Macaca fascicularis: one gene and its partner. The protein of the gene in region 1 interacts with the protein of each later gene in a pairwise test. Links are inferred from orthologs where the notes say so. Each region holds a gene or a part of one and is shown in the gene's direction. Other genes may lie near its edges.

Region 1 (4,173 bases):
GCGTGTGGAGCACGGCCAGGGACGCGTGGGAAGAAAGACGACCTATTTCCTACGACCGTCTTCCTAACTGGACCGAGCGGGAGGAGGCGGGGGCTGGTCCCCGGGCACCCCGGTGGGCACCGAGAACTCGCAGAGAGGAACATAAAACCGCACGGCCTTCCCCGAGCAGCGGGGAGACGGGAGGAAGGAAGGAAATGAGAGCTCGACCCGGCCGCGCGCAGAGCCGAGCCGACCAGCCCGAGGGACCAGGGCCCCACCCGAGAGCAGGAGCGAGGGCCGGGGACAGGAGACCAAGCGCGGGGAGAGCGCTGCCTGCACCTGCCACCACCTCGAGACCGGGTGGCGCGGGGCCCGGGAGCGTGGGCGGCAGAGGGGACCGGGCAGCGGCGAGAGCGCGCCTCCCGCCCCGCAGGGCGCCCGGGCAGAGGCCGACCGGAGCCCTCCGACCCCGCCGGGCCCTCCCCGCCCAGGCACCCGAGCGCACACCTGCCCCCTTCAAGCCCTGGGCCCAGAGCGGCAGGCGGAGACCCTGGCGGGGGCGCGGGCCGGACTTCGGCCGAGGGGCGCTGGCCAGGGCGAGGGACGGCCTCGTAGAGCTCGGAGACGCAGCGCGAGTTTTCCCCGCAGCCCGCGGGCCGCGCGCGCGCAGAGACCGCCGCCAGCACTCACCTGCCCGCTTCCCTTAGCGCAGCGGGAACGACGCACTCCGGCCCGGACCCCGCCGTCCGCCTCAACCAACCCCCAGGCGGTGGCGGCGGTGGCGGCGGCGGCGGCGGCGGCCGGACGGGAGGGGCGGGACGGCAGCCTGAGACGGCCCCGCTGCCGCGGCCCAACCCTGCTCCGCCCGCCCCGGACCCCGCCCCCGGGCCGCCGCCGCCGCTGCTCATTGGTCCACACCTCGGACGCATGGGCGCGGCCCCGCCCCACCGCCCAGCCGGCGTTCCGTCCGGGGTCCTCCCCAGCCAGTGGGCTGGCGGCTCCCGGGGACGAGAGCGGCCGGCTCAGCGGCCGCCAACCCCGAAGTCGCAATTGGCTGCGTTCGCCCCCGCCAGAGCTCTGATTGGACGAATCTCGACCCGGGCCCCGCCTACGCGCCCAAGTTCCGTTAGCAGGTTCGGTTGCTCCAGAATGCCTTTTTGCTCCAAGGGGCGGGACCGACGGGATGGGCCCTGTGACTGGCTCCTCCCCCTGCACGCAGCAGCCACTGTCCCGCGGGGCGGGCGGGCGGGCGGGGAGGAGAGCGGCGGCTTGTTCCTCTTTTGAGAGCTCTGCTTTCTTCCCATTGGTTGACAGGCATCCTACTCTCTCCGCCCCTCCGGTCGCTTGGTTTTCGTCTCAAGACGCAGCGTGATGACGTAGTTCCCCGACATTCCACATGCAAGATGGCCGCAGTACGCAAGGAGAGACGTCGCTAAGGGGCTTGCCTGAAGCGAGAGGTGAGTGACCCACCGACTGCGGGCAGCACCGCCCACCTCCCGCGTATCTGGAGGTCGGAGTAGGTTATGGTCAACCGCCGCCATCCACTGGCGTAGTCTCTCTTTCCGGATTCTGCCTCCCTCCGCTAACCTCCGGTACACATTGAACTTAGCGGGCGGCGCGGGGCTGTGGGGCGGGCGTGTAGAGAGGGTCTGAGGCGCCGGGGCGGGGCAGGGAGGCCGGGCTCAGTCTAGAACTGGTAGCGGCCCTCGCACTGGGGAGCAGTCAGAGTTCGGGGACTTTCTAGGGGTTGGACAAAAGGGGCAGGGGTGTTAACCGCGCAGTCTCACAGCCACAGACTGCTCATATCTCCCCGATTATTTCGCGGCGTATTAGTCCCAACCTTGGCTAGGCCTGAGACTTTTTGGAGGTTGTTCCGTGTCTAGGGTACTCCGACTTTGGAGTTTTGAAGAGCCACGTAACGAGGGTGCGACTAAGAATGAGGAAAAGGCACTTCCGCGGTTAGATTTAGTTGTTGCCGAGACATCGTCTTTACGGACGCGCTCCTGGTGGTTGCTTTGGTTTGTTATGAGAGAAATTGTTCTTTAGAAAATTGGAGCGTAAATCTAGAGGTTATCTGACAGCTCCTAAACTATTGTCTGCCCAAGATAGGCTCGTTAGTGCTCGCTAAATTTAGATTGCCAGTTAAACGGAGCTTTCGCTAAGTCATCTGAGGTTAGGAACTTCTAACCATTTCTTAAGGGTGGTGTTCTATGTTTTTAAGGGAAACTTGGTGATGTTTGTGTATCTCGATGTAAATCGCTGTTTACAGATATCTAGCACAATGCCTTGCAATTGTAGGTGCCCACTAAAAGTTTGTATGAATGATGTTGCTAGAATGAAAGCGAGGAGCTTTCAGCGCCTGGAACACTGCCTGACGTTTAATAAGCCCTCCGTATTGCTGAATGAAAGAATGGATAGATGGTGGTAATGGTAATAGTATTGATAGACATCTGGATTAAAGTTATGCCCTTAGGATGCTTACCTGTTAAATAATCTTGACTATGAATATAGTAATTATCCGAGATTGTTTTATTCAGAGCGACTACCACTGCTGTCTTTTAGGGTTTTTTCCCCCTCTTGTATCTCATTTCGATTATACTGTGATGCAGTATTCCAGCATATTAGTCGATTTCTAGGCAAATCCTGTTTAAATTTGTTCCATTTTGAAAATGTAGGTTGCACCAACAAGCAATAAAAACTATTCGAGTTGTTAATGAGGTTCTTAAATGTTAAATGCTCTTTCTAAAATTGAATGTCATAAAGAAAAATTGGTCATAGCCGTGGCCTATAAAATGGGCTAGTTCATTTTAGGACGTTATATTTGAAAGCAGTGACTCTGCTGAGTGTCTAAAAGGGAGGACAGTGTTTTCTGCTTGTTTTCTTTAAAACTGGATGAGGACAAAAAAATCTAGAGGAATTAAATTCAAGGTAATTGAGGAGATTACAGAGTGATCATATTTTTAAGCTCAGGTAAATTGTATACCAGAGTATTTGCAGATGACTTTATAAAATCATTATTCATAAATTTTGAAAAATCCTAAAAGTGCAGTTAATGATAGAAGACTAGAGTCTGGTAAATGTCTCAGTTTTCACACAGAACCATTCGATGGCTCTTGGCTGCTAGGAACCTATTAATAAACTTTTAGAATCTGGTTGGAAGAGCCAACAAGTTTATGAGTACTTGGGAAAGGAGAGCTGATTCCCTGAACAGAGCTTCAATAAGAAAAGGCCAGGTGAGGCCAGAGGTGGTGGCTCACGCTTATAATACCAGTACTCTGGGAGGCCAAAGCTGGAGGATCACTGAAACTCAGGAGTTCAAGACCATCCTGGGCAACATAGTGAGACCTCATCACTAAAAAAAAATAAAAAAATTAGCCAGATGTGGAGGTGCATGCCTGTGGTAGCTAGGGAGACTGAGGCAGGAGGATCACTTGAGTTAGAGATCAAGGCTGCAGTGAGTCGTGATCACGTGACTGCACTCCAGCCTGGGCGACAGAGCAAGACCCTGTTTCAAGAAAAAGCCAGGTGACACAAATCATTTCCTTTTGTTACTAGACTGGTGGTGATTGGGGATTGCTGGACGTAAGTTCATTTAAGTTTATTTAGGACACAGTCTTCCAACAAGATTCTAATACTGTGTCTAGATACAAGAGTTAAATATGCATTGGATAAGGTGTGGTTAGATGGATTGATATCCATGCAAATTACCAACCCCAAAATGTTGATTAATGGGTTGATGTAAACCTGAGGAGTTGTCTTTGGAGATATGCTACAAGACTCTGGTGTTGCCCTTGCTCTGATTAACACTTTTTTATTACCAACTTTAAATATATAAACAGCATGATTCTCAAGTTAATAAATGCACTCAAACCATGTAGTGATAATCAGCCACACATTAGATGACACTCAGAAATCAAAGAGTTCTTAAAGGCTGGAATATAATAATAGGCCAGAACCAACCAGATATAAATTTACTAGGTGAGATCGTCTCAAAAATTTTTTTTAAATAAATAAATTTAGTTGGTGTGATTACATTTACAAAAACTCAGTTTTCCTGGCTTGAGAAAAGTGGTTCTAGGATGTAATGTTCCACTTACAGAAGAAAAGCAGTGTCTAGATTGAGGGAAGGCAGTATCTTGGTATAAAGTAAGACAGATTGTGGCTGCTGCTTGCTAGCTGTGAATTAGTCAGGTT
Region 2 (3,649 bases), on another chromosome or scaffold:
CAGTGGTGTCCCCATCTCATCCCTGTCACCACAGGACGTCAGCAAGAGGCTCTCTCTGCCCATGGATATCCGCCTGCCCCAGGAATTCCTACAGAAGCTACAGATGGAGAGCCCAGATCTGCCCAAGCCGCCCAGCCGCATGTCCCGCCGGGCCTCCCTGGTGAGTCCCAAGAGGGTCAGAGGACACAAGGTGGGGTGATATGCCCTTCCCAGCACAGGCATATCAGTCCCAGCTGAGGCCTATATGGTGTTTCCAGGAAGATTCCTGGGCCTCTGGCGCCACCTGCTGGCTTGAGTGCATTCAACTAGATCGTCCTCCTACATCATCCATTTCCTAGATGGGTCCCACTTGGGCTAGAATGGGACTCTAAGCCCACACCAGGTCCCACGATCTCTCCACATGGTTAAGATCAATAGGCCAGCTGGCATGTGCCTTCCAGTCCTAGCTGCCTATCAGAGCTGTTTGGGACATCTTACAAAACACAGACTCTAAGACCCCTCCAGACGCCTATAGAATCAGCCTCTCCGGCTAGGGGGTCCGGGAATCCGTCTTGTTAAGGGTTGGATACACCTGAGCTAGAAGTGTGCTGATGAGACACACCGTCAGGTAGGTGGGTTCTGAACTGGACACTCAAGGTAAAATGGGAAAAAAGGCAGCGTTCACTCTGGAGGAGCTTGTGGTCTCAGTCGGAGACACAGGTAGCCAAGATGTGCAACAATCCCAGGTGCCACAGCCCTGGGCTCCACACTCTCGGCTGTCCTGAGAGGAAGAAACTCACACTTCCATGAGCTCTGTCCTTTATCACAGGGATAAAGGGAAAACGAGCCCCTTCCACCATGGGGTCTCATCCCTTCCCTCCCAGAGGCTGGAGTTGGGGGAGTTGTCATGTCTGTGGAGCTAAGGGCTTCAAGCTCATGGCATTCTGTGTCTCTCCCTCTCAGTCAGACATTGGCTTTGGGAAACTGGAAACATACGTGAAACTGGACAAACTGGGAGAGGTAAGAGGCTGGGTATGGTCTTCTCCAAATAGCCAGGCAGGATGGCTTGGAGGAGGGGCAGACCTCCCTGGTCGGCCCTCTCTGGTTGGCCCTCTCATGGCCCCTGCCCCATAGAGGTGCACAGTCTTGGCCGTGCACTCTGGCCCAGCCTTTGGCAGGGGTTGAAGTGGGCTCAGATCCTGAAGGAGGGCGTGAGGATAGAGTAGCCATGGCCCTGGGCAGAATCCAGTCTTTTTTTTTTTTTTTCTTCAAGTCCTTCTTGCCTGGGTTCAAAACCTACCTCCGCCATTTACTAGCTCTGTGACCTTTGGTGAGTTACATGACCTCTCTGTGTGCCTCAGTTTCTTCCTCTGTCCAATGAGATAGTAACTGTCCTATCACATAAGGTTATTGCGAGGATTGGGCAGGTTATGTACAGCACGCAGACAATGCCTGGCACATAGGAAGTGCTGTATCACTTAAGTATTTCTGTCGTCACTGTGCAGAGGCCTGGGGTGGGTGAAGGTTTACAGAGAGGGCAACACACAGCCCTTTCCCTCCAGGAGCCCAAAGAGGTGACCTCTGTGTAAACATCAGCATCATATAGGGAAGAAAAAACCTGGTGTTATCATAGAGGGGCACACGGCGTGCTGGGGCTTAGAGGAAGACGGATTCACTCCAACTGGGGGTCATTAGGGATGCTTCCTGGAGGAAGTAGGCTTTGGAGGAAACAGCATGTCAGTGAAGGGAGGAAGGGCACTCAGGCCCCAGTCATAGCCCAGGCAGAGGCACAAATGGGGAGACACTGGGCAGAGGCCAGCAGCACCTGAATGTGCCTGGGACCGCTGCGGCCCTCCATCCCAGGGCACCTATGCCACAGTCTTCAAAGGGCGCAGCAAACTGACGGAGAACCTCGTGGCCCTGAAAGAGATCCGGCTGGAGCATGAGGAGGGAGCGCCCTGCACTGCCATCCGAGAGGGTACAGCGTCCTAGGCTCCCACACTCCCCCTGGGGCTTCAGGAGGAGGGGTTCACCAGCCTGCGCCCTGGTAGGAGCTGGGGGTGGAGGGTCATTGCTGGAGTGGGACTCCTGGAGCTGACCCCAAGAAAAGAGGGTATGGGGACACATGGCATCCTGGGGACCCAGGCAGGCCCGTCTCCCCGCAGTGTCTCTGCTGAAGAACCTGAAGCACGCCAATATTGTGACCCTGCATGACCTCATCCACACAGATCGGTCCCTCACCCTGGTGTTTGAGTACCTGGTGAGAGTCGGGCTGGGGCTGGCAGCCTCTCCCTCTTGTGGTAGAAACAGGGTGTGGGTAGGGGAGTGGGAAGCTGAGGAAGTGGGAGAGGTGGGATGAGGGCGAACCAGGCCTTGTTCTGGAATCAGGTTCTCAGATGTTCCCGTGCAGGAGTGGGCCAAGAGCTCAGGCTTAGGGGTGGCTCAAGCCAGGGACCTGTCCCACTAGTGGGCGTGGGCCCTTCCCAGGGAGGGGCTTCCTCTCCTCAGCCTGTGTCCGGGCTTCTGGCCATGGGGCAGGACTGAGTCACGCTCTGTGTTCCAGGACAGTGACCTGAAGCAGTATCTGGATCACTGTGGGAACCTCATGAGCATGCACAACGTCAAGGTGAGGCCTCAGGGGCAGGGTCCCCCCATCTTGGCAGCCACCTGTTCAGAAGCCCAGTGCGGGGACCCACTCTCACCTCCAGGGATCCGGCTGCTGGGGTGGCTCAGACCTTCTCACCTGGGAAAGAGAGAGAGGGCAGTGCCATCAACAAGTCTAGGAACTGGGTTGAGCACTTTACCCCAGGAACAGACACACACTCTCTGCCACTGTCTAGCTGTTGGTATAAAATCCACTCCCAACTCTGAACATCAGTTTCCCCATCTGTCAAATGGGAGTGTGAGCTACCTGCCAGAATGCAGGGAGGCTTCTGGGGAAACTGGGGGTTATGAATGACCTCTTCTGGTGTTTGTTAAAGAATCAAGGCTGGGTGTGTTGGCCCATGCCTGCAATCCCAGCACTGGGAGGCCAGGGCAGGAAGATGGCTTGAACCCAGGAGTTTGAGACCAGCCTGGGCAACATGGCAAGACCTCATCTCTACTAAAAATTGAAAAATTAGCCTGGCACAGTAGTGTGCACCCATAGTCCCAGCTGCTTGAGAGGCTGAGGCAGGAGGACCACTTGAACCCGGGAGGTTGAGGCCGCAGTGAGCCATGATCACGCCACTGCATTCCAGCCTGGGTGACAGAGTAAAACGCTGTCTCAAAAAGGAAAAAAAAAAAAAAAAATCAAGCACATATGTCTCCACATAGGCAGGCATCCTGACCCCCGTGCTCCTGACTGAGACTTCTCTGGCCTCCCCCACACTCACTGCCTCTTCTGCATCCCTGGTGTCCTCCCCTCTGGATGGGACTCCCTGGTGTGGGTTGGGCCCAGGATGGGGGCTGCAGGGTGGGCAGGAGAATGAGGGGCTTGTGCTGACCTCACTGCCAAACCCCTGCCCCCATCCCGGTCCCAGCCTTGGAGCAGAGGCTTAGGACCACCTTCCACCTCACATTTCTCTTCCCCCTCTCCCAGATTTTCATGTTCCAGCTGCTCCGGGGCCTCGCCTACTGTCACCACCGCAAGATCCTGCACCGGGACCTGAAGCCCCAGAACCTGCTCATC

What was found.
Region 2: the proteins of CCNK (region 1) and CDK18 interact in binary tests that used the Homo sapiens proteins (3 or more experiments, as listed by UniProt). The two-hybrid records come from large-scale screens. The link is inferred for Macaca fascicularis from reciprocal best matches to the Homo sapiens genes CCNK and CDK18.

The regions. Positions count from the first base shown.
Region 1 is NC_088381.1:167,557,147-167,561,319, forward strand, and holds the start of CCNK (cyclin-K), read left to right. Parts: upstream 1-1,365; 5' UTR 1,366-1,571; intron 1,572-4,173. UniProt on the Homo sapiens protein: Regulatory subunit of cyclin-dependent kinases that mediates activation of target kinases.
Region 2 is NC_088375.1:63,365,361-63,369,009, forward strand, and holds part of CDK18 (cyclin-dependent kinase 18), read left to right. Parts: intron 1-34; coding exon 35-160; intron 161-942; coding exon 943-999; intron 1,000-1,842; coding exon 1,843-1,957; intron 1,958-2,144; coding exon 2,145-2,239; intron 2,240-2,542; coding exon 2,543-2,605; intron 2,606-3,559; coding exon 3,560-3,649. UniProt on the Homo sapiens protein: May play a role in signal transduction cascades in terminally differentiated cells.